7 linked regions of the Danio rerio genome follow. The protein of the gene in region 1 interacts with the protein of each later gene in a pairwise test. Links are inferred from orthologs where the notes say so. Each region holds a gene or a part of one and is shown in the gene's direction. Other genes may lie near its edges. The genes, in order: dazap2, pogzb, epn1a, tax1bp1a, hip1, ror2 and rnf115a.

Evidence for each region.
Region 2: the proteins of dazap2 (region 1) and pogzb interact in binary tests that used the Homo sapiens proteins (3 or more experiments, as listed by UniProt). The two-hybrid records come from large-scale screens. The link is inferred for Danio rerio from reciprocal best matches to the Homo sapiens genes DAZAP2 and POGZ.
Region 3: the proteins of dazap2 (region 1) and epn1a interact in binary tests that used the Homo sapiens proteins (3 or more experiments, as listed by UniProt). The two-hybrid records come from large-scale screens. The link is inferred for Danio rerio from reciprocal best matches to the Homo sapiens genes DAZAP2 and EPN1.
Region 4: the proteins of dazap2 (region 1) and tax1bp1a interact in binary tests that used the Homo sapiens proteins (3 or more experiments, as listed by UniProt). The two-hybrid records come from large-scale screens. The link is inferred for Danio rerio from reciprocal best matches to the Homo sapiens genes DAZAP2 and TAX1BP1.
Region 5: the proteins of dazap2 (region 1) and hip1 interact in binary tests that used the Homo sapiens proteins (3 or more experiments, as listed by UniProt). The two-hybrid records come from large-scale screens. The link is inferred for Danio rerio from reciprocal best matches to the Homo sapiens genes DAZAP2 and HIP1.
Region 6: the proteins of dazap2 (region 1) and ror2 interact in binary tests that used the Homo sapiens proteins (3 or more experiments, as listed by UniProt). The two-hybrid records come from large-scale screens. The link is inferred for Danio rerio from reciprocal best matches to the Homo sapiens genes DAZAP2 and ROR2.
Region 7: the proteins of dazap2 (region 1) and rnf115a interact in binary tests that used the Homo sapiens proteins (3 or more experiments, as listed by UniProt). The two-hybrid records come from large-scale screens. The link is inferred for Danio rerio from reciprocal best matches to the Homo sapiens genes DAZAP2 and RNF115.

What each region holds. Positions count from the first base shown.
Region 1 is NC_133198.1:36,683,444-36,687,482, forward strand, and holds part of dazap2 (DAZ-associated protein 2), read left to right. Parts: coding exon 1-177; intron 178-1,128; exon of another isoform or gene 1,129-1,932; intron 1,933-2,137; exon of another isoform or gene 2,138-2,707; intron 2,708-3,109; coding exon 3,110-3,238; 3' UTR 3,239-4,039. UniProt on the Homo sapiens protein: In unstressed cells, promotes SIAH1-mediated polyubiquitination and degradation of the serine/threonine-protein kinase HIPK2, probably by acting as a loading factor that potentiates complex formation between HIPK2 and ubiquitin ligase SIAH1.
Region 2 is NC_133191.1:42,522,920-42,527,493, forward strand, and holds the start of pogzb (uncharacterized protein LOC561483), read left to right. Parts: upstream 1-1,388; 5' UTR 1,389-1,449; exon of another isoform or gene 1,450-1,762; intron 1,763-1,938; 5' UTR 1,939-2,004; intron 2,005-2,145; 5' UTR 2,146-2,149; coding exon 2,150-2,255; intron 2,256-2,421; coding exon 2,422-2,538; intron 2,539-3,650; coding exon 3,651-3,823; intron 3,824-3,921; coding exon 3,922-4,021; intron 4,022-4,103; coding exon 4,104-4,349; intron 4,350-4,574. Other genes in the region: si:dkey-23o4.6 (retinol dehydrogenase 12), read right to left, coding at 143-233. UniProt on the Homo sapiens protein: Plays a role in mitotic cell cycle progression and is involved in kinetochore assembly and mitotic sister chromatid cohesion.
Region 3 is NC_133191.1:13,093,740-13,098,243, forward strand, and holds the start of epn1a (epsin-1), read left to right. Parts: upstream 1-1,530; 5' UTR 1,531-1,578; exon of another isoform or gene 1,579-1,917; intron 1,918-4,504. UniProt on the Homo sapiens protein: Binds to membranes enriched in phosphatidylinositol 4,5-bisphosphate (PtdIns(4,5)P2). Modifies membrane curvature and facilitates the formation of clathrin-coated invaginations. Regulates receptor-mediated endocytosis.
Region 4 is NC_133194.1:21,851,696-21,855,734, reverse strand, and holds part of tax1bp1a (tax1-binding protein 1 homolog A), read left to right. Parts: intron 1-3,079; coding exon 3,080-3,182; intron 3,183-4,039.
Region 5 is NC_133190.1:19,452,530-19,457,256, reverse strand, and holds the start of hip1 (huntingtin-interacting protein 1), read left to right. Parts: upstream 1-1,460; 5' UTR 1,461-1,697; coding exon 1,698-1,817; intron 1,818-4,727. UniProt on the Homo sapiens protein: Plays a role in clathrin-mediated endocytosis and trafficking. Involved in regulating AMPA receptor trafficking in the central nervous system in an NMDA-dependent manner. Regulates presynaptic nerve terminal activity.
Region 6 is NC_133185.1:5,739,589-5,744,386, forward strand, and holds the start of ror2 (tyrosine-protein kinase transmembrane receptor ROR2), read left to right. Parts: upstream 1-1,623; 5' UTR 1,624-1,851; coding exon 1,852-1,945; intron 1,946-4,798. UniProt on the Homo sapiens protein: Tyrosine-protein kinase receptor which may be involved in the early formation of the chondrocytes. It seems to be required for cartilage and growth plate development. Phosphorylates YWHAB, leading to induction of osteogenesis and bone formation.
Region 7 is NC_133191.1:14,581,771-14,585,809, reverse strand, and holds part of rnf115a (E3 ubiquitin-protein ligase RNF115), read left to right. Parts: intron 1-1,169; coding exon 1,170-1,238; intron 1,239-1,667; exon of another isoform or gene 1,668-1,821; coding exon 1,822-1,894; exon of another isoform or gene 1,895-2,648; intron 2,649-2,835; exon of another isoform or gene 2,836-2,990; intron 2,991-4,039. UniProt on the Homo sapiens protein: E3 ubiquitin-protein ligase that catalyzes the 'Lys-48'- and/or 'Lys-63'-linked polyubiquitination of various substrates and thereby plays a role in a number of signaling pathways including autophagy, innate immunity, cell proliferation and cell death.

The sequences.
Region 1 (4,039 bases):
ACTCAGATGTACATGCCCATGCATGCCCAGACTGTGCCAATGGGGGCCATGGCTTCTAGTGTCCCGATGGCGTATTATCCGATGGGGCCCGTGTACCCTCCTGGCTCCACTGTCATGGTGGATGGTGGATTTGATGCTGGAGCTCGCTTCGGGCCTGGCACTGGTAGTTCCATTCCGGTGAGTATATGTCCCCTAAACATGATGTGTTTTATCAGCCAAATGAGATTTCCATTATATTAGTCAAGCTCAGTTTATGCTTGAGGGTCACAATGATGAAAACTTTTAGAAATCTGAAGAAATCTGAATGACATGAAAAGACATGATGAGGTTGTTTACACAAGATGCCATATCAGACGCTCAGGACTCACTCATAGACATTTACTCAAAGGATAATTTAAAACATACTATGGAAATGCTTTATTTTTAATTTTATCAGTCAATGATTTTTATCCTTATTTTTATCTCCACCAACATGTAATTACTGTCAAGCTGCTCTCACCATAAAACACATCATATTAGATTGTGAATGTTTAAGGACAAGATTTTATAAAGAAAACACTTTGAAAGATGTTCAATAAAAAGTTTCATCATGATGAAGTTATTTATAAAATCATATTTAACTTTTAATAAACAGTTATTGTGAATTGTATTTATTTATATATTTGTTTGTGTATCAAGTCCTATATGATGTTTTTATGTATATTGACTTTGCCATGAAATTGCCACAAATTGCTGATGTGGCAATAAATAAATAAAATATGTGGCGAGACTTTAAAGGGAATATTTTTAAATGGGAATCCTTCAAAAAATACTAGAATTTTTATCAAAAGTAAATCTCAAAATGATTTTTTTAAATCTAATTTTTTAAAATTATTTTATTATTATTTATTACTGTGATGTCCTTTTTATTGTTTGTGTATTATAGAAAAGTGAAATTTCTAAAATGAAGCTGATATGGCAATGAATTCATAACTTTCTCTCGAGATTTTGAATTTTACTACTAGTCACAGGTGTAAGTTTTGATATCTTGAGGCATTTGACAAAGCATGATGTACAATTTAACATGTCAACAATTTAGAAAATGACATCTTTTACACTTGCAATTAAATCAAAAAAGAAGAGGTTGGATTAAAACATAAACACTTTACATTTAAATACTGCACTATAAAAAAGTAGATACTTTTAACCCTACTGTTGTGTTCCTGGTCAAAATTGACCATTCTGCTTCTAACTGCTCTTAAATGAGCTCACAAAAACAAAACAAAAATCAGTCTAAAATAAGTGTGTGAGTGAGTAAGTGATTGAGATGGGGTGGGTGTTTTCTATCTGATAGATGAATCCAATCTGAAGACCCATTCATTTCATATGGCGGTTACTTTTGACCAGGAACACCACAGGTGTAACAAAATTGATTAAAACACTCAAAATTGAATGAAAATGAAAGAGGGGATCATCACTATATGTTCAAGTACATAGTGTGAAGGATATCATAAAGCCTCGAGGCAATCAGATGTAAAACACAATTTTTATGAGTGTTTTAAATTGTAAATCGGTCAGATTTGACCCGAAAACGACATGAAGGTTTGCCACAAATGAGTGTAAGCTGCTGATATCGTGACTTCAGATAAAATCAATATGAAATATTCCATGTTTTTAGACCTTTAGAGATGTATAGAATTATAGGTGTGCATTTTAACTTATGCATCAAATATGCACTCCAAACCTTTCTTCGTTGAGAGGTGTTGAATTCTTCCGTCATTTGCATTGTTTTGATAGTCAATTTTCTTAACAATTTTTTTTATCTATTATTTTTCTATGAAGCTGCTTCTGGCCTTGACATGTTCACACTAAACGGCTATAAGAGACATGTTTAGGGTTATATGTGCAACATCCTTTATTTATTCTCTTCGGCAGGGGTGTCCACACTCGGTCCTGGAGGGCCGGTGTCCTGGAGAGTATAGCTCCAACCCTAATCAAACACACCTGAACAAGCTAATCAAGCTCTTGCAAGGTATAGTAGAAACTTCCAGGCAGGTGTGTTGAAGCATGTTGGAGCTAAAGTCAGCAGGACACCAGCCCTCCAGGACCGACTTTGGACACCCCTGCTCTTAGGAGAGCTCTCATACTTGTAACATACTTGGAGGTGAAATGCTGTGCTTTATGCATTATAAAGCTTGAAGCATCAGAATCGGTACTCGTTTTTTAAATTTTTTTATTATTACTTAAGGTGTGAAATCATGGAATGTATTATATTGACCTGTTATCAGTTGATTATATCATTATGTAAATATAAGTTGTACAATTATTACTTTTACATACATTACATTAATGTTAGCCATAATAATAGTATGATTTCCCACATTTTGAGTCCTATAAAAAAGTGAAATCGTGATATGCAAGAAGCTTTCAACCTGTAGGGCGTCAACTGATCATTAATTAGTATTCATTTGAAGTGAATGCTAAATTTATTGACTATTTCTGATGAATGTTTGACAAATGTCAGTGTTAAAAATTGAGTGACAAAATAGAACAAATCTGCAATCTCCTACTATAATTTCATAATAGAATTGAAAGAAGGGGCTATGCCAAACGTGTTTACAGATTAGTTTGGTACAAAGTGATGTATTCCACTTTTCTAGCCATTTTAGTCATCATTAAATCAGTAAATTGAAAATTCCTGGTTCAGTGTGTTTCAGTGTTTCTCAACCATGTTCCTGGAGGCTCACCAACACTACGTTTTGGATGTCTCCTTTCTCTGTCACATCTATTACAGGTATTTCAGTCTCTGCTAATGAGCTGATGATCTGATTCAGGTGTGTTTGGTTACATGGAAAATGTGCAGAGATGGTGGTCCTCCAGGAACGTGGTTGAGAAACACTGGCTCTATTTGAAGGTCTTATGAATTTTGCTGGTTTCGGTCTACCTTGAAAATGTCACCTCTCAAAGTCTACCATCCAAAATGGACAATTTTAGAAATCCATGAAAACTGTATTTTGCACAACTGAGACAAATAGATGCAAATGCACTGCTATGACCTTTTCCCCTGGCATGTATGTGACTGAAAATGAATTGTGTATATAAAATGTCCATCTTTTTCTCTCTTTTGAAGCCTCCACCTCCCGGACACCTCCCTAACGCGGCTCAGATGGCAGCCATGCAGGGTGCAAATGTCGTGATGACACAGCGCAAGGGCAACTTTTTCATGGGTGGCTCCAGCGGTGGTTACACCATCTGGTAACAGTGAACACCCCTCTGGGCCTGGACCGAAGCCCTCCTTCCTTCCTCCCCACCCCCTGGTTCCCTTTACCTGTTCTCCCACCCCCCTGCCTCCTTTGGGGCTGCTTGGCTAAGCCACAATACTGATTTAATCTAATGGAATGTAATATTTTAGAGCCCCTTACTCGAGGTACAATGCGCCACTGTTGATATGATTGTGTAATATTGCAATTATATAATGTGTAATGCGTATTCACAATTAAAAAAGCGCATGGTAATTGTAGGTTTGCTCATACGTGTCGTTTAATTATTGGTTATAGAGGGAAGACGACTTTTAAGGTGAAAACCAGGTCATTTTTACCTTTAGCGGAACTGGCATACCTCTTGCAGCTTCATTTTTTTTAACAGTACTACTTTTGTTTTGGTTTTAGAGCCAGAGATCATGCCAAGAAAACTGCCCGGTCAGTTTGATCATCTGTGTAAAGTAGCTATGCACTCAAACCTTTCTCTTTGAATAGTACGCTTATCCATGCTCATTCATATCATTATTACGGTCTTGCCAGATATGTCAAATGCGAATTTAAGCCGTCTAAATCAAAGAGAAAGATGTGTTTACAAACTGAAACAACAACAACAGTGGTGTATTGTACCTTTGGGCAAGCTTATATAAATGTTATCAGGTGCCAAAATTGCACCATTATTTAAAAGCTAAGGAATTTAAATATGAATGAACCTAAATGCAGTACAAGAGAGTGCGAACAAGATCAACAAAACCGGTTCAGAAAAGTTGGATTTCTTTCTTTTTTTTTTTGTGGTTTCTTCA
Region 2 (4,574 bases), on another chromosome or scaffold:
ATGCCATTAAAGATTTAATTAATTAATTAACATTTCAGGGCCTTAAATTGTGATGCAGTAGAAGTTTTGGGACCAGACCCATTTTTTATATTAAAATAAGATTATAATAAAACTTCTGAAAGTACTAAAAAACGTTACTCACTGATCACCAGCAGCGCGAGGACAGCGCCATAGTTCACTCCGTCAGATGATGTGCCCGGATCCTTCATCTCGCATGCAGAAGTAAACAACATGAAGAAAACACGCTCACGTTGTGTCCTCTCTGTGCACAATGCTATATATAGGGCTTGACTTAAGCAACTTAAACAGAAGCTTACCTGCTCTGCGCTTCGACTGGTTATGAAACGTTTATTATGAAACGTTTATCTCGGCACAATTAAGAAATGATTAGTTGTCAGATTGTAGCTTAAATTTAGTAGGATATTCAGGGCATATTCTACTTATATAAATGGTAAAACTTCTATTGTGCTGTGGATATTTTGAATTAAAGAATGCAGCTTTAATTTACATTCGATGTCTTTATGATAACTTTCAGACTTTCTGATTCATAATGTACAATTAACTAAAGCAATCGGTTTAAACCAGTCGTTACTTCGACTATATATATATATATATATATATATATATATATATATATATATATATATATATATATATATATATATATATATATATATATATATATATAGTCGAACAAACGATTGTGTGTGTATGGACTGAACTTTTGAATGTTTTTGATTCACTAAAAGAACCGAGTCATAAGAGTCGTTTGATTTTGAATCGGACCAGTGGTCCTGCCTGATTCGTGCTGTGTTCTCGGTTGTTCTGAAAAGTGCGGTGAACTCTGCAGTGTGCTGTTCTGTCCACATTGGCGGATGAACCCGCGTTCAGAGCCATAATGAAACCGGATGTCGTGATCGGTTCCAGAATTTTTTTAAACTGAACGTTTTCTAAAAAATTACACTTATTTCATTTATCAGTGCATTGTGCATACCAGGGCTAAAATATGAATATTTAAGCAAATAATTTTATATAATAGATATTTTGTGTGAGCAATTTTTCAAAATCATAAATTGATTTAAGAAAAGACAGTTTGTGATGGTTTTGACAGGTCCTCCTCAAAATACTAACAGTGTGTTGAATAATTAAATCATTTCTTTATTAAACCAGCAGTTGGCTAGACCGTATAAAATGTTGTCGTTTGTCGAGAAGGACGCCATTTTCTTGTTCCAGTAACCACTCCTCCTTATTTCAGAGATTACAGCCAATCAGCGTTGCGAATTCAAAACAGGAAGTGGCGTTTTGAGCGTATCAACCAATCGCAGCAGGAGAAAAAACAGAACCTCTGCCCATTTAGCGCATTTATTCGTCTCGTCTGTGACGTACCGGCAGGCTTTGTGTTCTTTCAATATATCACGTTGAATATATTTCTATATAGACTATAATCTGGTAAGTATTTTTTTTACAAATACGCGCTTTAATTCACGCGTTAGATGGCCGTCTTTCGTTATGTGCGCGGAGGACAGTATGCGGAGTGCGCACTCAGTAGGCGACGCGCGAGGGGTTGCTGCATTATTTGTGACTGAGTTTTTGTGATAGACACAGCGCTGAGTCCTGTTCCGACCCAGTTTGTATTTCAGCCCTATTTTCTGTTATTGTACACACATCCAAGGCTCATGCTTTTGCTTCTATCAGTCAGATCATCTGGTCTCAGCCAGTGCATATCGGTGACCAGGAACTACTTTTCTCTTCGCCCCTGTCGGTTAGATGAAATCACACTTTTTTGGGAGATTTTTAGGAAGTGATGCGGCAGCGCTCTGAATATCCGATGTTAACCCCATTAATGCAGGATTTTTTTTTGTTTGTTTTAAATGTATATAAATACAAAATGTACTACTATTCATGTTTTATTCATATACTTATTTGTATAATTTACAGGATGAAGGGATTTTGTAAACGCCAGTCTTGACGTTAAAACTGGTCGGACCCGATTCCTGTCAGAAGGTGAGGGTCTTCAGTTCAAAAATATTTTTCACTTGTCTAATTTAAAATGAAACATGTTTTTGATTTATGAATACATAATGCACCAATTGTCATTTGTACCCTCACAGTTTGTAGATTTTAAACACGTTTACTTTCTTTCAGAAACATGGATTCGGATTTGTTTATGGAGTGTGAGGAGGAGGAGCTGGAGCCATGGCAACAGCAGTCTATGGATGAACCAGCCGGAAATGCTGAAAGCAGTACTCCCTCCGGTGTGTATTTTTGTAATATTTTTAATTATAGAGAAATTTAACATAGTTTTTAATTATCTTCTTAACTTTTGTTAATTATAGATATTCCAGAAATATATATATTTTACTTTAATAATAATTTTAACATCATTATAACATCTGAAACTTGTCGTCCTCCAATGTTAAGTCACTTCCACTCCAGCCCCGGTGGTTGATGTTCCAGCTCCGCCTAAGACCATGGTGATCCCAAGCCTAACGTCTGTAGTAAATGCGGCGAACACGGTTCCGCTGATCACAAATACAAGTGAGTCTCCTTTTCTTTAATAATTATTTACTCATTCACATGATGCTCCAGAACACAAATTAAGTTAGGAAGAATCACCTGTTTGTTTAATTTAAGAGAAGCAAACTGGGGATAGAGTTCAGACACTTCAAAATAACAACAAAAAAGACTTGTTTTAAAGAAATGCAAATGACAAAAAAACACAATTCTTTTAATTATGAGTTAAATGAAGAATAAAATTGTTTTTTATGATTTGTGTGCTATATACTCACCTGCCACTTTATTAGGTACACCTTACTAGTACCGAGTTGGACTCCCTTTTGCCCTCAGAACTGCCTTAATCCTTCATGGCATAGATTCATCAAGGTACTGGAAATATTCCTCAGAGATTTTGGTCCATATTGACATGATAACATCACACAGTTGCTGCAGATTTGTCGGCTGCACATTCATGATGCGAATCTCCTGTTCCACCACATCCCAAAGGTGCTCTATTGGATTGAAATCTGGTGACTGTGGAGGCCATTTAAGTACAATGAACTCATTGTTCAAGGATTCAGTTTGAGATGATTCGCGCTTTATGACGTGGCACATTATCCTGCTGGAAGTAGCCACCAGAAGATGGTTGTGTGTGAAAATCCTGGTAGATCAGCAGTTTCTAAAATACTCAGACCAGCCCGTCTGGCACAAACAACCATGACACGTTCAAAGTCACTAAATTCACCTTTTTATTCCCCATTCTGATGCTCGGTTTGAAGTGTAGCAGATCGTCTTGACCATGTCTACATGCCTAAATGCAATGAGTTTCTGCCATGTGATTGGCTGATTAGAAATTTGTGTTATCGAGCAGTTGGACAGATGTACGTAATAAAGTGGCCAGCGAGTGTTTATTGCAATTGTTTTAAAATCATTAAAATCATCAAAATTCGAACTTTTGCAAACCGTTTTCTAATGTTTTCTCATATTTTCTCAAAATTTGTAGCGAATAGAAACTTTTCAGTACATTGTTGTTGTGTAAATATCCTTAGAAGGGGAGCGCAAAAGTCATATCAACTACTAAAGTAGTAGATGGATGCAGTCTTGTTGACATTCAGCCTGCATTACTCTTGGTGATCAGTCATTTATTTTTTCAGTAACTCAACGTGCGGTTGTGCCGACTGAGATCCCTAAAGCAGTGCAAGGGCAGCCGGTCATCTTGGCACCAGGAGGAGGTGGACTGGGCACTGTGGCTCTGTCACAGGTTCTCCTGCCTGGAACATCTATTGCCAATGTTACCAACAGTCAGCCGATCTACTTTACCACACAGGTGCTGCCATTTCACCATATAGATTCCAGCACATCACTCAACAAAAGCACATTGTCTCAACAAGTGTTCATCTATGTGCGTCCTTTCATCTGATACAGGGTCTTCCTGTCCAGAATATCCAGCCTGGCCAGGGTCCAATGAGTTTAGTGCTGAATGTCCAACAAGGCCAAACTGTTCGACCGATTACTCTACTCCAGGGTATGTCAGTGTGCTCTTGTTATGGTCTTACGCTATAGTTCTGTGCATTAATTAACAGTGTTTTCTTTATGTCTTTTTTAAGCACCTGGCACACAAATTTTCAAACCAGCCATCGGAGCAACCCAAATAATTACCCAGCCTGCTCAAATAAGGGCTGGAGCTCCGGTTGTAAACAGAGCCCAAACGCCTAGTACTTTCAGCACAGTGCAGATCCCTGCTACTCTCACTTTTCGAACCACAAACGCGGTCACCCCAACAGCTGCCAGTTCTCTACCCATCGTATCTTCTACAACCATTACTCAGCCTACCAGGACCACTACTAAAATAGGTAAGAATAAGAATTTAATTGAACTTTTTAAAGTTAGATTTTTAATGCCTGATTCAAACTATATTGTTTTCTATCTATGTAATAATTCCTGTTATTAATTAGTTATTTATTTTTATTTTCATTCAGAAGACAGAACTAGTGACTGGCTTCAAAAAACAAGAGCCAGAGAAGGCTAATAAAACAACATGTTAACTATTTTAACTAGTCAGTTTAACTAGTTTATTA
Region 3 (4,504 bases), on another chromosome or scaffold:
AGCATTGCTCATTTTTTGTGCAGGTCAGAAATCTGTATTATTTTATTTAATTGAGGACATCGCCCCTATGTGGCTACTTCATGAAATAGCATCACATTATAAATTTAGGAAAGAAAATACCAGGGAAATACTTGTCATCTCCTCATAACTCACCCGCTTGTATAGGTGAACATGACGCCCGGTTTTATCTGCCGAGTTAATACCGCACTCAGGACTGCTGTCACGGCTTCAGTCAACTCTTCTTCAGTACTAACTTACTACGACACCAAAACCGTGCAATTATATTGGTTTGGATGAATATAAAAATCATGATGCAAGATTTTGTCATTGTTGTTAAAATATTCTAGCACTGCTGCTTCAAAAATAAATAAATAATTAAATAAATAGATGAAAAGTAAGGAAAGAAAAACAAAAAGAAGAAAGAATGATGGAAAAGAGTTTAAATGACAATTTTGGTTAACCTATAACTTAATTTATAACCTATAACTTAATTTAAACTTAATTTATAATTTTGAAGACTAAAATCTATACAAAATTCTACATTATTTCCTAGAACTTTACTAATTTCTGAGGGCACTGCTTACAATTATGACAATTATGGTGCCAGATCAGTCTCAAAAACTACATTCATTCATTTTTTTTCGGCTTAGTCCCTTTATTAATTCGGCATCGCCACAGCGGAATGAACCGCCAACTTATCCAGCACGTTTTTACGCAGCGGTTGCCCTTCCAGCCACAATCCATCTCTGGGAAGCATCCACACACACACTCATACTACGGACAATTAAGCCTAATTCACCGCATGTCTTTGGACTGTGGGGGAAACAGGAGCACCAGGAAGTAACCCAGGCGATCACAGGAAGAACATGCAAACTCCACACAGAAACGCCAACTGCCCCACCCGAGGCTCGAACCAGTGACCCAGTGACCTTCTTGCTGTGAGTCGACAGCACTACCTTCTGCACTACTGCGTCGCCTCAAAAATTACAATTAAATTAAATTACAAAATCCAATTTCATACGTCACACATATATTCACCAAATGAATTGGATTTGTGTATTTTTGAACTGTGTTTTGAATATACAAATTGAATTTGTGTATTTACGAATCATGTTTTGAATTAACAAGTTGGAATTATGTATTTACGAATCGTGTTTTGAATTTACAAATTGGATTTGTATATATATTTTTTATTTACAAATTGCATTTGCGTATTTACTAATTGTGGCACGAATGAATCGTGTTTTGTGTAATTTTTTTTATCTTATTTTGAATTTACAAATTGGATTTTGCAAATGTGAATTGTGCTGTGCATGTAGGAATGATATTTTGTAAATGTATTATTTTTGAGACTGATCTGGCACCATATCTTCATTTACTCATTGACTCTGAAACATAAAACGAACTTTCTCACTTTTTTCAAGAAATGCACAAAAAGTAAAACTACCCAAACGTCGTATCGCCACGGCTTATGAATATTCAAATCAGGGAGCGCGCAAGGGGGCGCGGTCCGTCCGGCAGCGGGGAAACGGAAGCGGAAGTGCCGCCATCTCCTCGTACCATCCGAGCAACAGCAGGGTCAGTACAGACGATATTTGGGGAAGTATTGTAGTCTATTACGTTAGTACAAGCGGTTACATGACGCGTTATTTGTTTAAATGACGAACGCGACTCGAGGGGTGATAGTCGTGAAGGAAGAGCAGCGTCGCGTCACTCTGTCACGCACACGCGCGCGTCTCTTTATGAGTTGAGTTAGCATAGCGGCGCGCTCCCGTCTCTAAATGAGTGTTTTTAATTCAGCGCCGTGACAGAAACAGCAGCGCTTCGCTTTTCTGCCGTCTTCGCTGGTAAGAACCCGCTTTCTGGTGCTCGGCTAGATGTCTGGGCGTGTTTGAGAGGCACAACAGAAGCGCAACGGTAAGTAGCCTCCGCTAGCTGATCTCAAGTGCACTTGGTAGTGATCTCTTTCTATAAGTTTGAGCTACGGAGGGCTTGTTTTGAGCTGAAGTTGCTTTTTACGAGAGTTGATTGACTGTTAGGAATGATAGAATCACATTTGTTTGGTAGCAGGGTGGAGGTTTAGAAAGGTGTGTGTGTTGATTGATAGCTTACACTGGCATCTGTACAGGCAAAGATAAACTACACAGCACTTTAACAGATCTGGTGCTTCACCAACTGTCAGATTTCACACACTATCTAAAGCAACAGTTGTCTCTGTGAAGTTCATTGAATGTTGTTTATCTCCTTGTCAACTTGATTTGGAAACCACCTGTTGGCTCCCTGAATTCACTTTTTTTTTGGAGGTTGAAGTCAAGGTCCTTAATTGACAACAGTTCATTCAGACTTTTGTACTTTGCTCTTGGCATATTCAGAGAAGCTGGCTATGGGACTGTTATCAGGTCACAGCCTTATGCAAGAGTGCTGCATATTAATACACCCTATCATGAACTACAACTTATCACCTAGTCTTTGTCTTGATTGGCTGACACTCTTTACTGGATACATTTATAGTATGTTTGCCTAAATATAATGCGACCGTGATGTGGTCAAGGGTGAAAAGATCAGCTTATGTCAGTAACTGTTTTCTTCCTGTTTAGTGCTGTGTGTTTAACTTAATATTTACCATGTGAAGCCTGACATCTGAAATTGTAGTCAGTAAAAATTAACCAGTCTTTTAAGTTAGGATGGGTTATTGAAATTTGTACGAAATCCTGAAGATGTTTGCACAACTGTTAATGTTCAGTATTACATTAGAGAGGCCTATAAAGATCATTATTTTTTTGTGGTGAATATTACTTGTCAAACAAATATTTGTGATGAATGATTCCATTTGCTTTTATATTCGGCTTTTTATGTTGAAATGTTTTTAACCCTTTGACTGACCCTCCACCCAATAGTTGACCATGTTTTTACTGTTTTAAATAATGTCTGTATAAGTCATTTGAAGAATGAATGTTTTAAATATTGGTTCACACACACAGCATTGTTGGTTTTACAAAAGTCAAATACACATCCTGTTGCATTACTACACTTAATTGTGGTTTTATTGTTAGTTAACTTAAGTTATTTGTCGTTAAATGAGAATCTGAGATATTTTATGGCATACTTCAAAAAATAAAGATGATTTAGTATTGAAAAATGTTTGATTTTGATTATGTTTTTAAATAAATTGGTCTTACACTTCATATTTTCAAAATTTTCATAGTATCTGTATTAATTCCGGTACTTTTACCATATACCAATATATCTACCATTTTGTAGAGGCTGATATTTTATGAATTATGGGATGTGTTGAAATAAAATGCATTGACTGTGTTAACTAGCGACATTAGGAGTTAAGAAATACAATCCGGACATTTTTTTTCTTGCTAGGGGTAGTTAAAGGGTTAATTTTGTCTTGTAACGTATACCTTAATTTATGTAATTTAAAATACTAAAATCTAAATACTACAAAATTCTACATTATTTCCTAGAATTTTATTAATTTCTTAGCTAAAACGGTCTCAAAAATAAATTTACAAAATAAAATTCACACATCAACAACAGCATTATTTAATATTCTATTTTATATATTATCATTCAATGTTTTTAGATGTTTTTAATGCAGTAAAAAATGTTTTGAAAATTAAATATGATTTTTTTTATTTTACTTGTCAAACAAAAAGTTGTGATCAATGGTTTCAATGGCTTGTTTATATTTAATTTTTACTTTGAATTATCATAAAATATTTCTATGTGTTTTTAATGCAGTAAAAACAATATTCCAAAAAATAAATATGAATTTGTTCAGCTATAATCTTCAGCTCTCAACAAACCATAATAGAATTAGGGCTGCACAATCATTTCAGCATCGATATCGCAATGTGATCATTCGCAACAGTCACATCGCGAGTTTATGCAATGTAGAGTCTGAATTATAATTTCTAAGTGTTAATGTTTTGTGTTACATTTGAGATGCTTATCAAGATCATGATTTTTTGTGTTTGGTGAATATTACTTGTCAAACAAATGCAGTGTGTAATTTCTAATATTGTGCAGCCCTGAATGGAATGTTATGTAATATAAATTATATTATACTTAATAATATTATTATATGTGATGGAAGACCTGACTGAGTAGTATCTAATAGTAGTTATGTTCTGCCTCCACAGAAATAAAATAAGCATCTTCTCATCATGTAATTAACTGTTTAAAGACTAATAATCTTTGAAAACATGAACGTTAACTGTAAAAAATGGAGTGTTTTTAATCATAAATGCTCTATAAATGCTCTTTAACATATGCTAATCTGTTTAAAATTCATTTATTATTATTAATCATTAATTGCAACAGTCCTACTATTTGTTACATCAGGCATTTATTGATTATACATGATATATTGAGGTGGTGAAAAATCTTAAGGCTGGGCAAAACAATAGACTGTGATTAATCATTAGATATTTTTATGTAGATTCTCAAAAGCTTTGAATGAGTTTTTATTCCTATAATCCATATTTGGACTGCT
Region 4 (4,039 bases), on another chromosome or scaffold:
AAATGAGTGCACGGAAACTTTACATCTTGTTAAGATACAATGACCGTTTATGACTATATAAAAGGCACTTCAAATCAACCAGATCTTTCCATACAACATTTAGAGTGGTGGGTAAAGGGGAAAATTGGATAGGGGGAAAATAGTTAATCTGCTCAATATCACTCTTGTTTTGATGGTTAGTTTATGGAACAAGAGGGTTGTGGCTTGAATCTGTCTGTGTATGTGTTCCCATGTGTGTTTTGTTGGATGTTGTGGGCTTTTCTTATGACAACTGAATCCTTCCCCATGGCTTCATTCATTCGTTAATTCATTCATTAATTCATTTTGCGATAGGATTTAGCGTTACATCAAATCTCTCTTAAATTGTGTAATACATAAAAATATAATTGTAGCGAGACTTTAATGTTACACTAATCTAAACGAGTGGGTCAACTTTAATAATATATATAGTTGAAGTCAGAATTATTAAACCCCTGAATTATTAGCTCCCCTGTTAGTTTTTCCCCCAATTTCTGTGTAACAGAGAGAAGACTTTTTCAACACATTTCTAAACATTAGTTTTAATAAGTCATTTCTAATAACTGATTTATTTGATCTTTGCCATAATGACAGTGAATAATATTTTATTAAATATCTTTTAAGATGCTTCTATACAGCTTAAAGGGACATTTAATCTTAGACTTAACTAAGTCATTAGGTTAACTAGGTAGGTTAGGGTAATTTGGCAAGTTATTGTATAACTATGGTTTGTTCTGTAGACTATCAAAATATATTTATAAATAATTAAATATATATATATATATATATATATATATATATATATATATATATATATATATATATATATATAGCTTAAAGGGGCTAATAATATTGACCTTAAAATGGTGTTTAAAAATCTAAAACTGCTTTTATTCTAGCTGAAATAAAACAAATAAGACTTTCTCCAGAAAAAAAAAAAAAAAAATTATAAGACATACTGTGAAAATTTCCTTTCTCTGTTAAACATCATTTGGGAAAGATTTAAAAAAAAAAAAAAGTTAAAGGGCGGCTAATAAATGTGATTTCAGCTGTATATGGAGTCATATTTAAATAATCAATGAGGTTATGGGGGAATTATTCCTCAGGCACTCAAAAATATTTAACGCACACACCTTTATTTGTGTAATCCCATTTATTGCTTTATGAACCACAGGCTCCCTCTGGTGGCAATGAGAAAGTACTTTTTCAGTGAATTGCATAATTTAGAGATAAGAGATTACTGCTAACATTTTCTAACACTTTCTATCTATCTATCTATCTATCTATCTATCTATCTATCTATCTATCTATCTATCTATCTATCTATCTATCTATCTATCTGTCTGTCTGTCTGTCTGTCTGTCTGTCTGTCTGTCTGTCTGTCTGTCTGTCTGTCTGTCTGTCTGTCTGTCTGTCTGTCTGTCTGTCTGTCTGTTTGTTTGTCCTAACTAGATCAGTAGATCGAACGATAGATAGAATGGTAGATAGATATTACTAAACTAATTAATCTATCAAAATATTTAATGAATAAATATAAAAATAAAACTATTAAATTATTAAATGCAGTGATACTAAAATGGCACAGGTACAGATGTTTTTTACTCACCTGAAATAATAAATGAAATGCTTTTATTCAAAATGCCACTGGTTAATAGAAGATTATCTGTTTATCACTTTATTGTTCAACAAATGTTTAGCTCTTTCCTAGAGATGGGTTCAGCTGGAAGGGCATTCGCTGCGTAAAACTTATGCTAGTTAAGTTGGCGGTTCATTCCACTGTGGTGACCCCAGATTAATAAAGGGACTAAGCCGAAAAGAAAATGAATGAAATGGTATTTCCAGCTTGGACACAGTCTATGTTGTGGTTGAAAAATCTTCTCTTTACATTTGATAGGCTGAACAAACATAGTATTCTTTATCAAGGAGAATGTTGAGGCACGTCGAAAACAGCCTTCCTTTAAGCAATACTACAATGCAGTGTAATCATGCATACACATGCATACTGTAGGTTTAAGCACAGAAACACACACTTGGGTACCATATAATTAACTTGTCGTGCACATGCCGAACATGTCCTTATGCACCTGATTTATAGTGAAGTCAGCCCTCTTATTATTTAATTTATCATTTAACAGTCCTGTATGTACAAGTATGGTTGTTTGAAACACACCAGAATACCTTCTCTCTCACTCTCTCCTCTTGCTCTCCTCTTCTCTGTAATTAATAGGTGATTTCTTCACAAACAACTCTGTGTCAGATGAAAGCAGAGTACTTTCCGTAAAAAAAAGGAATTACAGATGTGATATATAGTAATCAAAGTAAATGTTAGGTAGTGTTGTGAAAAATCACAAAGACAAATTGCTGACTGACTGTGTGTGTGTGTGTGAGTGTGTGTGTGTAGTTTTTAACTGTATGACGTAACTGTATGTGACACTACATTACATACTGTACTTGTTTTTGTCATATTTCATTTAAAACTGCATAAAAAGACATATAATCACTAATTTGTACAATGTACGGACAAAAAAAGAGTGGTTATGGAAGTGAAAATTTTACACTAGCTTCAAAGGCAGAATGGATGAAATTCACATGCGCACACGCTTTTCAGAGTAACCACACAATTTCTGTCGCCTTTGAAGCAAGTGTAAAATTTTCACCTTTTCCCGGTCCTTTTTTCCATTACGCCGGCTTTTTCCAGCCGTATATACCCACACACTGCACCCTCTTTTCGAAACTGGCTATGACTTACAGATGTCATGTTTTTTTTTTTTTTGCAGCTAAGTCTTTTCTCTTCTCTTTGTCTTATTGTGATTCCTATTCATTACCTGTGAAATTGATACAACATAAATTAATAGAACTTTCTGTTTAAATTATTGATAGTTTGTAACGTTGCTGTATTTTTGCCTAGGAGTTCCTTCTGTAGTCACAGTTTTTTTATTGTTTCACGTGAGTTGTTATGGTCATACTAAAATAGTCTCTTTTTTTTTCTTTTTACGGTAACCCTTTTCATAGGCCTTCATTGGTCAATTCACATTAACATTGTGTGTGTTGTGTGTGTTAGGTGGGCTGGAGCAGTGCAAGAGACTACTACACGTTTCTCTGGTCTCCCATGCCTGAAAACTACACAGAGGGATCCACTGTTCACCGAACTATCATTTTTCAGGGTATATACATAAACACATACACTCACACACATAAAATCACCACATATACCCGATGCAGTATGCAACAACAATTAGGGTAAGAAATTATTTTATACCTCTATATACACAGTTGAAGTCAAAATTATTAGCCCCCCTTTGAATAATTTTTTTTTTTTTATTCCCCAAATGATGTGTAGTAGAGCAGGGAAATTTTTACTGTATGTCTGATAATATTTTTTCTTCTGGAGAAAGTCTTATTTGTTTTATTTTGGCTAGAATAAAAGCAGTTTTTATTTTTTTAACACAATTTTAAGGATGAACTTATTAGCCCCTTTAAGCAATTTTTTTTTAATACTCTACAGAACAAACCATCGTTATACAATAGCTTACCTAATTCCCCCAACCTGCCTAGTTAACATAATTAACCTAGTTAAGCCTTTTAATGTCACTTTAAGCTGTATAAAAGTATCTTGAAAAATATCTAGTCAAATATTATTTACTGTCATTAGGCAAAGATAAAATAAATCAGTTATTAGAAATGAGGTATTAAAGCTGTTCTATTTAATAATGTGTTGTCAAAATCTTCTCTCCGTTAAACAGAAATTGGAGTAAAAAATAAACAGGGGGGGCTAATAATTCAGGGGGTAAATAATTCTGACTTCAACTATATATATATATATATGTTATGTAAATTACATATTTTTTAAAGTAATATTTTTAATAGGAAGCTAAGCTATACAATATTATATTTGTCCATAAACATTAGAATAGTCAGTACTGAAGCCAAATCTGGAGCTTATCCAACAAAATAACTTACGATGACAGTCCAAAAAATAGTACATCCAGTTATAGAAAATGTTAAAAACAAATTTAAAAAA
Region 5 (4,727 bases), on another chromosome or scaffold:
TGTACAGTACAGAATATAAAGTCATGGTGCCTTGAAAAAATAATTAATATAGTGTATGACTCCCATGAGCTTGGAGGACTACACCCATACATCTCTGCAATGAATCGAATAACTTATTAATAAAGTCATCTGGAATGGCAAAGAAAGCGTTCTTGCAGGACTCCCAGAGTTCATCAAGATTCTTTGGATTCATCCTCAATGCCTTCTCCTTCATCTTACTTACCCCAGACATGCTCAATAATGTTACGATTTATTAATTTTACGAATGTTAATGCTCAAAAATATACAATTTATTTGTGTGTGTGTATATTTCTATATATATATATATATATATATATATATATATATATATATATATATATATATATATATATATATATATATATATATTGTACATATATAAGAAAATAATATATATAGATTAATTGTATATATATGTACATATATATATATATATATATATATATATATATATATATATATATATATATATATATATATATATATATATATAGATTAATCGTATTTTTATGATGAATCATCTGCATCAACTGCATCACAATCATCACAAATACTGCATAAGACCTGTTTAAGCCCACATCTATCCAAGATTCTCAAAGAAATCAGTCAAGTTTGGTGAAGGAAAGATCATGGTTTGAGGTTACATAGCCGCATACGAGAGATCTGCAGAGTGGATGGCAACATCAGCAGCCTGAGTTATCAAGACATTTGTGCTGCCCATTACATTTCAAACCACAGGAGAGGGCAAATTCTTCAGCCTATTTATACACACACACATATTATTATTTGCATATTCGTCATGTATTTACATTTTTTAAAGTTGGTGTTGTTTCAATATGATCTCAGACTCAACAATTTTGTAAAAAATCTTAATTAATATTATTTTATATTACATATTATTACACTTAGGCCTACATATTGTTGCAATGTGTATGTGTATGTGGTTTTTGTTTTTTGCTGTTTCAATAGAAAAATTGATAATGAAAGCAGGCCTATTAAAAATCAAACTGGCAAATATGTGTGGAAAACACATCTACTAATTGATCAATTATGGAACTACGTAACATTGTGGAAATAGAAACTGTAAATGCGAATTAAATTGTTATTGTAGATGCTTTTTATATGTTATCTATACAGTTACTGTAATTATTTGTATATAGGCCTATGTTTGGTTGTTTCACTATGAACAAAAATGTTGTACAAAAAACCCTATATCTAACTGTTTATTCTTTTATTTTTCGTTGTAGAAAATCACGGGGAAAAACATAGAACCCGGAAAATACAGACTTTGTTTAAGCGTCAAGATAACTGTTTTTCAGGGCGGGAGCTGATGATTTTTCTCCAGTCGGTGTGTGTCAGCGCTGGGCGGAGCCTGTGACAGCCGCCGCCGCTATAGTCTGCTGGAGTGGATGTGTATACCGTCGCTCGCGCGCACTGACGCGCTGTTTTCTCTTGCAGATCTGTGATTGCGCGCACAGACGCGTGTTTTGCGCGCTCGCGAGCGGACAGCGGAATAGCGCTGGAATGATATCTATGGGCGGTGGACGAGGAAAATGACCTTTTGTGATAACGACGAGGACTTGAGGTTTTCGTGCTCAACGCTAGAGTCAACACACTATTTATGTTGATTTAGGAAGTCTTGGTCGCTCGCGCAGCTTGGACTTTTCTTTCCAGAAATGGACCGCGTCAAGAGTTCAATGCAGCAAGTCCCAAACCCGATCCCCAAAGTGCTCAGCCGTCGCGCTGGCGGTGCCAACAGTTTGGAAGTTGAAAAGGAAAACTTCGAGCGCAATCAGGTGAGGAACAGTAAACACAACCGGACAAGTTTTTTCATGTAGTCAGTGCATCGCCAGCGAGCTGTTTATATGGCAAGCCAAATTAACATATATTCATTTAAAATAACCACTATCAGTTTTAGCTTTAGCAAGTAGTAAAGCATCCATTCTGACAGCTTTTAGATACTACCATGTGTTCCTTCTCTGCATCCGTTACCGTCTTGGTTTGAACTGGTCAGAGCTTTATTCTTCAATTAAAATATTATTATTGTTAGTGTTTTTTTTTTGTTCTTTTTGTTTTTACTAATAAACTAAAATAAAGCTATTGTAATGTTATTTTATTGCTAGCAGTTCAAGTAATGCTAAGTAATGAATTGTCTTCCAGAAACTGCTAGTCGAAAGAGAATTAATTATTAATTAAAATGTTTTTATTTGTTTATTTTACATGTGCTATTTATTATTATTATATATATATATATATATATATATATATATATATATATATATATATATATATATATAACTATTAACTATACAGGTAGTGTAGTCAATGCTAACTGGATTGAACACACTGTCAAAACAGTAAAAACAAAAATAATTTAAGAAACATGAGAAGTGTTTCATTTCATTCAATGCATTTGCAGTTACTTTGTAGTTGCTTGTGCAATTTCTCAGTGAAAATAGTTATTAAGTTAAAGAACCTTTTACACTACGCCATTTTCAGCTGAAAATTGATAACCTTAAGTTTTTTTTGGTTCATTAACACGACAGCTGTGATTTGTGGGCCTGAGAATAAAAAAATGTATTAAAAAGAACGTCATCAACTACAAAAACATGATTTGTGGAAAAATGGTGATAACACACATATGCACATTGTTCACTCTAAAATCATGTGTGATTAATTGACAATAGAGTTTTCAGTAACCTGGATGAACCACTTCCGGTGAACTGTATGCAGATATAAAATCAGCATATTTAAGGTCTATTTTCTTTAAAAATCAACGATTTTCACTGCCTGATTGATATACAATATAAAGTGGGTGTCCAAATTTACAAGACGCACTGCATTAAATGATGTTTTCCCCTGTAATGTCTTTAAAATATGAAAATACATTCCACATTATTACTTTTTCAATGAAGCTAAACTTGACAGTAGTATATTTAACTGATTAGATTTTAATTGCATTACAACATTAATGCTGTAAAAGGAACCGTATAAAAATTTTAAAAAAGACACAATAACTGCTCACCGAAAGTTTATCGATGTGGGAAGAAACACTAGCTGTGCATATACCCTATAAAAACAACAATGTCTGAAAACAGGGCCATAAAAGTGCAGGTGCATGGGTGTCTTTAGAAAGTGACATCACCACCTACTGGCCTGGAGTATGTTTCACAGTTCAGTGTGAACAGGGATCCTTTTGACAGCATTGTTGTCTAATCATGAAGCTTTGCAAACACATGCATGAATTGCTTTCAAATAAATACTACTGGAAATAGAAAAGCCTCTAAATTTTCACTGTTGAATTACTATTAATCAAAAGCAAGTATTGTAATATAAAAGGACGTATTAAAGAAATACATGTTAAACAGCTTGCCATATCTGACAGCAATAAGACATGGCTGTGAGCTAAAACAAAGTGCATGATGATACAAATCAAACGGTCAGAAATTGCAATATTTTGTATTTAACCCATCATTAAAATCAATCTAGCCTTCATTATCATTCTGTCTGATGTGACATGCTGTTGTATAGTGTATTATAGGGCTTACTAGTTAGCGTGTGGTTTGTCCAAACCATAAAATGAATGTTTATTTGCAATATACAAGCGTCATAATGATAACTGATGACCTTTTAAATTCAGCTAAAGTTCAGTGCACTTTTGATCACGTCGCACCTTCAATTTTATCAGTGTCATTGATTAAGAACGAGAACAAAGTTCTTCCTGCTGCTCTCTCTTTATTATAGGTTAATATTCGCTCCGTAATGCCTTACGTTATGGAATTTCTATGCATTATAAGAGTGCAACTGACTCCTTAATATAGGAACATCCTCTGTGACAGCGTCTTGTGTTTCCAAGCTGATGCCCATGAATCGAGCAAGCCTAAAAGCTTTTAGTGACTCAGAGATGCAGTGGGCAGAGCCCTGATGGTCATGCATTCTGGTCCGTGCCATCAGCCTATAATGTATCTCCGTGCATCTTCAGTCTTTTAGATCTTGTTGACCGTAATGCACAGCCATTGAATTATGCAGTCAGGTTCTGGGTGCTGGAACCTGAAAGTGTGTTGTGAAGTATAAAGAAATGCGTTCTCATTGTTTGCGCACTCTTCTTCTCTCCTCTACGGGGGTCTCAACCCCCCCCCCCCCTCTCCCATCCAGACACAGGCATCAGGAAAAGTAGGTCAGATGAATGAAGCTGCCGCCGACTGCCCTACTGCTGGGTTTGGGAGTGTTTGAAAACAGCACGACCTCCTTCTTGCCCACATTTCTTCAGACGTTTTTTTGTTTTTTTTTGCAGCGAGCAAATGCGTGCAATCTGCAGTGTCATGTTCGGCTCGATCTGCACAATTCAGTCCTGTTGTTTACAAGTAGGACAGTGACATGGATTAGCGAGGCTCGTGTGGCGCATGCGCTCTTGAATTCCTTTAGGACCCATCACTGGGTCAGACTCAGATATCTGAGAGGGTTTAGTTGCACATTTCCTGTTTTTAGAATTGATTTCATGTCATTTAGCCAAAAGAGGCTTTACCCATAACATCTGAAAGAACCAAAAACACCATTCAGACTGCACACACTGATCAGGTCGCAGAAGGAAATGCTATTGTGAGCGGTCCTTATCAGTTAGTTTGCCTGAAGGAAGTCTGATCCCATAATATCCCGTCGCTTTTCTGCCCCTGGAGGGCTATGTTTAGATTAATGGGCCTTCTGTG
Region 6 (4,798 bases), on another chromosome or scaffold:
ACTTGTGAGGGAAACCTGAGCAGCACCCAGAGGAAACCCACTCGAACACGGGGAGAACATGCAAACTACACACAAACCTAGCTGAGGATCGAACCAGCGACCTTCTTGCTGTGAGGCGACAGCACTATTGTGCCAAAGCGTCACCCCTGGAAAATAATAAAAAAAATTGTTTATTCATGAGATAAAAACATCACATGAATCATAAAAATCATACAAAATCTATATAAAAAAAAGAATTATTAAAATTTGTCTCTGTTGTGTACAATCCACTGTTTAATCCTTTTTAGTAAATTAAAAACTAAAAAATTAACGATACTTCTAATTTAATCGCTGATTTTAAGATGGTAGATCTAAAATAGCTTTTATATCAATACAATTAACATATTTGCAAATGAAGCAACTTAGGTTTTTTATTGATTATTCAAGCATACTAAAACCATGTCAATGTGAATAAAAATTAAATATCTCAAACTTATTTCTTAAGCATCAGTTTATAGCATTGCATCAATTTATTAATTTGCATTTGATGTTAGTCTAATAAAATTATTATAAATATCAAACTGCAGAGTTTTGTTTAGTTTTGGCCTCTGAATACATCTGAGGGGATTTTCTTCTTCGAGTCTTTATTCATATTCAAATATACACATTTTTATATAACTAATTCCCAGTCTGTAAGGTGCAGTGGGTAGCACGCTCGCCTCACAGTAAGCAGATTGCTGGTTCGAGCCTTGGCTGGGTCAGTTGTCATTTCTGTGTGGAGTTTGCATGTTCTCCCCGTGATTCCTGCGGGTGTTTCTGTTCACCTCAAAAAGTTCAAAGACATCAGTACAGGTAAATTGGGTAGGCTAAATTGTCTGTTGTGTATGTGTGTGAATGAGAGTGTATGGATATTTCCCGGTTTTAAGTTGGCGGTTCATTTTGCTGTGGCGACCCCAGATTATGCTGAAAAGAAAATGAATTAATTTCTTGTCAGTGAACAGAAAACAGTTTTCCTGCTTAGTATTTTTGTGGGTGCAAATTTTTCGCCGTGATTTAAAGATGAACCGCACGAATCAGAACAAAACATAGCATCAATTTTGATCAATTTAACATGGCCAGACAGAATAAATCTACCTTTTCCAAGAGTCTCTTCCCCAGTAGGTGTCGTGTTTTTTCAAGGATATCAAAAACTTTGAGTTACTAAACCTACTATGGTAAGAAACTCACGCTTACTTTCCTGTAGCGTTGTGACACGTGACCTCATTAATATTCATGAGCCAATCAACGTTTGCATTTAGCTTAGCTCAGGAGTGTCCGAGGGCCGGTGTCCTGCAAAGTTTATTTCCAACCCCAATCAAACACACCTGGGCTAGATAATCAAGCTCTTACTATGCTTTCTAGAAACATCATTGCAAGTGAGTTGAGGCAAGTTGGAGCTAAAATCTGCAGGACACCAGCCCTCCAGGACCGAGTTTGGACACCCGGGCTTAGCTAATTGAATGTAAAATGACTTTATTACACATTCATGAGCTCCGCCTTCGTCGTAGTAGGATTCGCAAATTCGTTTCCCTCCCTTGGGATGTATCCTTCCTACGTCACGAGGAGTTGGAGTTACTTGCTCACTTTTCCTATTAGGATACGTTTGGGAACACTTGAACGGGATCAACGGCGGTCGACGAACACCTTTACGGCTGAGCGGGATGAAACGCGTTTTTGTTTTGCAAACGAACCACCAAAAAGAGTTTCATTCAGTGCACACTTGAGACTTTGGGGGAAGCGCGTTTCGTCCGCACGCACACACTCACTCAGTTATCACTTGTGGAGAGTTTGGAAGTTGTTACACTGATTCCCAAATCCAGCTGCATCAGAGGAATGTTCCCTGTAAGGATGTATCATATATTGAGGATTACAACTGGAGCTCATCTGGTGGCCACATTCATCTTCTTTGCAACTTTTGCATATGCAGGTAAGGATTTTACACCAATTTGTGATTATCTGAGCTTTATTTAAACGCGTTTTAAATGTTTGGTTGTTTTATGCTCACAGAAATAACTTCAAGCACCGCTAAAATTGAGTTTCACCTTAATTTAGAGCTATATATTTGTAAATAAATGAATGTATTTGAATTCACGCTAAAATATTTGTACTTTTGTTTATTATTGTTTAAAAACATGAGAGGATTTATTATGATGGATAACCTAAATATGAATCTAGAAATTTAGCTTTCTAGTTCAGTGTTTTTGAAACAGTGTTTAATTGTTACAGCGAAATATTTCACACGACTGAGGTAAAGTTGGTTTTATATTCACACATTTGGATTTTCTCCTTAATACAAAAATAGTGAAATCATATTAGCAGCCAATGACTATCAAAGTACAACTTTGTTCACAGGCAAATAAATATTGCTAATGTTATTTTCAAGTCATTGCCTACTTGACTTGCATGAGATTTCAGACCGAATTTTCAAAGTACCACGGTGAATAATGTAGGGTGCATGTCACTGAACAAATGTGAGGATATAAATCCAACTTTACCTCAATTTTAACACAGATGTGCACATTAAAACCGAACTGTTTTGCTCATTAAATCTTTTAAAACCAACATGATTAAAGAGATTTATATGTAAAAGCCGTCTTCTTTTTTAAAATGTGTTTTTGCTAATGTGAGAGGATTCATTATCATACTCCTATACAGTATAATAACTAAGCCTTCACTCTCTGATGTTCAATCTAAAAGTTATTACTTTTTTCCCAATCAAGATGATTTCTCATTTATTTCACAACAGATCATTTTCATTTAAGTTAAAATTCATTTTTCTTTTCTGTCCATCTTTTTGGAGTTGTGAGAGCGTTTATACGTGGCCTATAAATGAGAGTTCACATTGACGTTCACATTGAAACGAGTGTAAAGTATTAATGCTTTTCATTAATTGAGGTTTGTGTTTAAACATCATTCAGGTAAATATTTATTTATTTATTTATTTTAAGAACGGGAGAGTGTTTCATCTAAATATGACTATTCAATGAATACACTAGTATTCACACTGCAACAGAAGTGGATTCAGTTCATTTGATCAGTTCTCATTGAGGTAAAATTGGACTTATATTCATAAATTTGCACTTTCTCCTTAAAAGGGTGGTTTACTAAAATATAATTTTTTAAACTTTAGTTGATGTGTGTAACGTAGCTGTGTGAACATAAACAACATCTCTGAATGTAAGACGCTCAAACCTCAATGCAAAGTGAGACATTGGCTCTTACAGAGATAGCTTAGCAAATCTACAGAGAATGAAGTTTGAGACTGCAAAAAATACATTCGGGTCAATGATGTCATAAACCCTTCAGGTTACACGCATACACCCCGTGTTAACATTAAACATAAAACACTTAATCTCAGTTCTCTAAATGTAAATCTACACTGTGATCTTTCGCATTTAATTTGACCAGATTTGTTTGTTTGTTGATAATCAGATGCATATTTTGAGAATGATTTCTTGCTAATTCGTTTCCCTCCCTGCAGGGTGCTATAGGAGGGTGACAGATGTTGAAATTTCCTGTTTTGAATGTGCTCTTTTTTAGCCATTTGCTATGAGGATTAAACGGGGGGTTGGGGCTAAAATGGTGGCTCTCCAACAAACTTTATCACCCACTGTTAAAGCTTTAGGCACTTGAGATTATGGGCCCGTCTGCTATGGCGGAAGAGTTGAGCTCATCGTTTAGGTGTCCACGGATGAACGTCACATGACTCATTCTTGCTTATTGGTCAGAGTTTTTTTTTTTTTTTTGGTGCAGCACACATGTGTTTGAGCACAACTACATTGTTTTACACTCAAATGTTTGCTGCTTATTTAAAATGAGCTTAAACAACACAATTCTTGAGATTTTCTATCGATAACCTAACCGTTATGCGTTCAATCCACTTCAATTTGTTAAGTTAACTTAATCATTAACTTAATGAATTGTGTGCAGCACTGCTTTTTTTACAGTGTACTTTAAACTTGAATACGCTGTTGATTGTTTTTATTTTGCATTAAAAAAAGGCTAGACAAAGGAGAGTCAATTGGAAAAATCACAGCTTTTGCAAATATTAACAAATGACAATTTACTACTCTTTTTTTGTCTTTACCTAACATTTTCAACGAAGTTTTTTTTATTTTATGTTGTGGATGTTCATTTACTTGACAGTGGCATTTTGGGGGCTTGAATACAGGGGGACTTTTGAAAAGGGGTTTCAAGTGCGGGATTTTAAAAACTCTCATCGTAAACCATAAAAAACGGGACTTTGAGGAAGTGGTGACCTCATCATCAGCATGCGTTTGCTCTTTACTTGAGTGCAAGAATTTGACAGCCAAAACAGCAGTGGTGAACTACAGGACTGTATCTGTCCAGACACATATGCTGCGTCCCAAATCGCATGCTTGTGCACTATTTTACACCATTTTGTAGTATAAATAGTGTAAGTAGTGTGTTCACACTGAAAAGTCAAAAAATCATCAGTGCACTTTAATTACCCGGATGATGGACTAATTCAGCCGGTAAAATGAAGTGTGTAATGATGGACACTTCACGCACTCAACGATCGCAGGTTTGCTTATGTAGCAGAAGGGGCGGAGCTATCGGGCGCACATGTTGAATAACTTTCTTATTTTGGATGGTGAAAGCAAAAGTCTCCTACGAGAGTGATTATAGCGCCTCCCGATGGTGAATGCGGATATACTCACGGCAGGTATTATCTGATAATTCGGTCGTTTATTTCACTGATTTGGCAACCGTCAAACGTCATCAGGGAAACGGGTTAAATTTCTGCTTCGTAAAAAAA
Region 7 (4,039 bases), on another chromosome or scaffold:
AAAATGAATGACTTTTCTTCTGTTGAACACAAAATAAGATATTTTGAGGAATGCTGGTAATTTTTTCAAAGATTTCCTGGATTTAAACATTTTTTTTAAGTTAAGCTGTAGTGTCTGTAGTGTATGTGTGTGAATGAGAATGGATGGGTGTGATGGATTGCGGGTGGAAGGGCACCCGCTGCCTAAAACATATGCTGGATAAGTTGGTGGTTCATTCTGCTGTGGCAACCCCGATTAATAAAAGGACTTAGCCAAATATAGCCAAATATATTTAGAAAAAGCATAAAAATATTTATGCAGTAATGTTGCATTGTAAATGCACCATTGAGCTTCATTAAACATTCTGTTTAAATACTGATGAACAAGCACATTACAAGGCTCGTTGTCAAGCTTTTTTAATAAGAAATGCCTTTTGTCTTCTATTGACAATGATAGTTTTGCATGCTGCTTGTGTGTATCATGCACCTCACGTTTTAACTGAGCTCAACCTCGTCACTTTTTTTTTCTCTTTCGTTGTCCAATAGAATGAACTGAGATGTGGGCTATCAATTGTGACAGAACAGCTGATTCAGTGGTTGCCTAATAACATGAAGTAACACAGCACACTGCAGCATGCCTCTTGTATTCAAAGCTGAAAATACATGTTCTGTGTAAAGGCCATAAAGATGCTGTGTTCAGTTTTTGGCTTCAAATTTCATATACAATAATCTTAATAGAAAATCAATCAAAAGGTGTCTGTTATTTACTTAGTGTGCATTGGGCACTTAATGCTGTATATTATAAATGTCTAGAATATTGCATTTAGATTTCTTCAGTAATTATGAAATAAACCTAAAATTAGTGGCATTATTATGAACACATAAAAATGAAAAACAAAACTTGTAATAAAATAACCAGTAATTTTAGGCCTCATGTAGTATTTCTGTAGGTAGCATATTTGTTCTGTTGAATCTCTGGTTTTAGCAGCATGCAGGACACAGTAAAACAGTTTTGTTCCTCAAAAAATGTGGATGACCAAATGTGTAGTGCTTAACATTGCTGCCAATATATGCATGCACTGGATGAGTCAGCTGACAACCCCTGAAATATCAATACAAAAATGAAGGAAGTTGGCAGAATTCCCCAGAGCCAATATCAGTTCCTCACCGATGTCTCCTCTCTCCTTCTAGAATCGTACAGCAGTTTCTCGCAGGCCTTTTTGCCAATTCAGGAGTACCAGGCTCTCCTCCAGTGTCATGGTAAAGAATACTTTAATATATGGTTGAAAATGCTCAGTTTCTCTGTATTTATGTTTTTTTCTGTTTTATTCTGTAAACTACTGATGACATTTTTCCCATATTTAAATGTTTTTATTTAGAGCATTTTTACATAAAATAATAAGGATGCTGTGTTTTTAAACGTTTTCTATTTTTTTTTTTTTTTTGTAAAATAACACATTTTAACCAAAGAGGTGGTAAGAAATCAATGAGTATTGGATTGGAACCCTTGTTTTCAATCACAACAAATTAAAACATATCTGTATTCTCATTTTGTTGAAATGATATACAAGTCTCTCTGTATATAATTTAAATATCTGTTATGTATAATTTGAACAAAATTATATGTGTGTATATATCATTGGACATTTTAAGTGGATCAAAAAATTGTATATTGTCCTTAGACTAGAATGAGTGTTCAAATGACATTTTTATTACAACTTGTGATGAAAGATTTTGATAAACTTCAAATGTTGACTACTACTTTATATATAATGAGTGTAAAACCAATTATCTTTTAAATTAATGATAAGTTCATGGTTACAACTTGATATTTGTATGTTAGGACGAGCATGCTGCACTCAAACCCCGGGGACTATGCGTGGGGCCAGGGCGGTCTGGATGCAGTCATCACACAGGTAGTGGAACAGCAAAGTGTGTGTGTGTGTGTGTGTGTGTGTGTGTGTGCATTAGGGCTGCACAATATTGGAAAATGTTATTTATTCATTTTCAACCACTTTTCTGGGGCCGGGTCGCAGGGGCAGCAGTCTTAGGAGAGAACCCCAGACCTCCCTCTCCACAGACACTTCCTTTAGCTCCTCTGAGGCGATCCCGAGGCATTCCTCCTGGTGGGACATGCCTGGAACACTAGGTAAAATCTAGGAGGCATCAGAAACAGATGCCCAAGCCACCTCAGCTGACTTCTCTCTGTGGAGGAGCAGCGGCTCTTCTATCTATGAGGGTGCGCTCTGCCACCCTGCAAAGGAAACTCATTTTGGCTGTATCTGAGATCTTGTCCTTTCAGTCCTAACCCAAAGCTCACGACCATAGGTGAGAGTAGGAACGTAGATTGACTGGTAAATCCCACAGACCGGTACCACAACGGACTGGTACATCGACCGCATTAATGCTGCTGCTGCACCAATCCCCAGTCAATCTCACGATCCATCCTTCCCTTACTCGTTAACAAAACCCCAAGATACTTGAACTCCTCCACCTGCTGTAAAGACTTTCCTCCAACCCGGAGATGGCAAATCACCTTTTTCCTGTGGAGCACCATAGCCTTGGACTTGGAGGTGCTGATTCTCATCCCAGCCACGTCACACTCTGCAGCAAACCGGCACAGTGCATGCTGAAGGTCCATGTTCGATGAAGCCAACAGAATGACATCGTCTGCAAAAAACAGAGATGAGAAAATTCTTGCGCTTTGAAATTCTGTCCATAAAAATTATGAACAAAATTTGTGACATAGGGCAATCCTGCCGGAGTCCAACAAGTTTGACTTATTGCCGGCAATGCGAACCAGACTTATACTCTGTTCATACAGGGATAAGACAGCACTTAACAGAGCATCTCTGACCTCATACTCTCAGAGCACCCTCCACAGAATACCATGAGCGACATGGTCGAATGCCTTCTCTGAGTCCACAAAACACAAGTGGACTGGTTGGGTATACTCCCATGAACCCTCGAGCACCCTGCTGAGGGTATAGAGCTGGTCCAGTGTACCACAGCCTGGGCGAAAACCGCATTGTTACTCCTGAATCCTAGGATTCCAGAAATGTTAACATTTCTATATATATATTAGGGATGCTCAAAATAATCGATTAACCGTTAATCGAAAGGGTGTGTTTGTGACCGATTAATGCTATCAGTTAAACTATTAAAATTATTATTTTATATATTTTTTAGTTTGACTGCATAAGGGGCCGATTGAATGCGCCTTTGCGTTAAGAGGGGCATCTTTTGCACGCGGCTCATCCCAGAGCAGCAGTTTGTGTTGTCAAGACAACTACATAGAACTTTTAAAGAGCATGGTTTCCGCTACATTCATTCTTCCATGGCGGAAACCAAAATGCATCCCTCCACGGCTACATTCACATTCAAAACATTCAGTTATTGTTGTTGTTGTTGTTTTTAATAGCGGATTATAATCGCATCAAAACATATTAAAAGGTAGATTATAACAGCGCAAACGTTTTTATAACCGTATAGTGTTGTGCGCTATTGTTTAATCCTTTGGGGTTACGTGCTGACTGACTGACTGACAGGTGCGCGATGCGTGAGGCCAGCAAACACGCAGAAGCTTTCAGTTAAGATGAACACAGTTTCTATAGTTATACTTTATTTAAAGATAAAGTATGACTCTGTATATAATCATTCTATCTTGCTGGAGTTTATAGCCATTTCGCTTTACTTCAGGACGCATTAATGCCGCTCTGAAGGTCTATTCGCTGTTTTAAGTTATCCAGAGCTGTATGAATATACAAATCTTGAATATCACAATATTATTAAATATTACAATTGTAACAACATAGACAGCAACACTTTTGCACAATAGATACCCAGCTGATTCAGTCGTTTCATAAGAGGACCGCGCTTCTTCTCTTCTTTTTTCCTTGTCAACATTAAGGCAGTGAGGTGCGCCTCGCGTTTTTGGAATGAAAAAAAGCACATTAGCTGTGGTCGGCCACTTGTTTTACTGCAAGACATACTTAACTTTGTGGGACGATAACGTATAACCCGTGCCTACAGACACATTTGCCAAAGAAGCAAAATGGAAG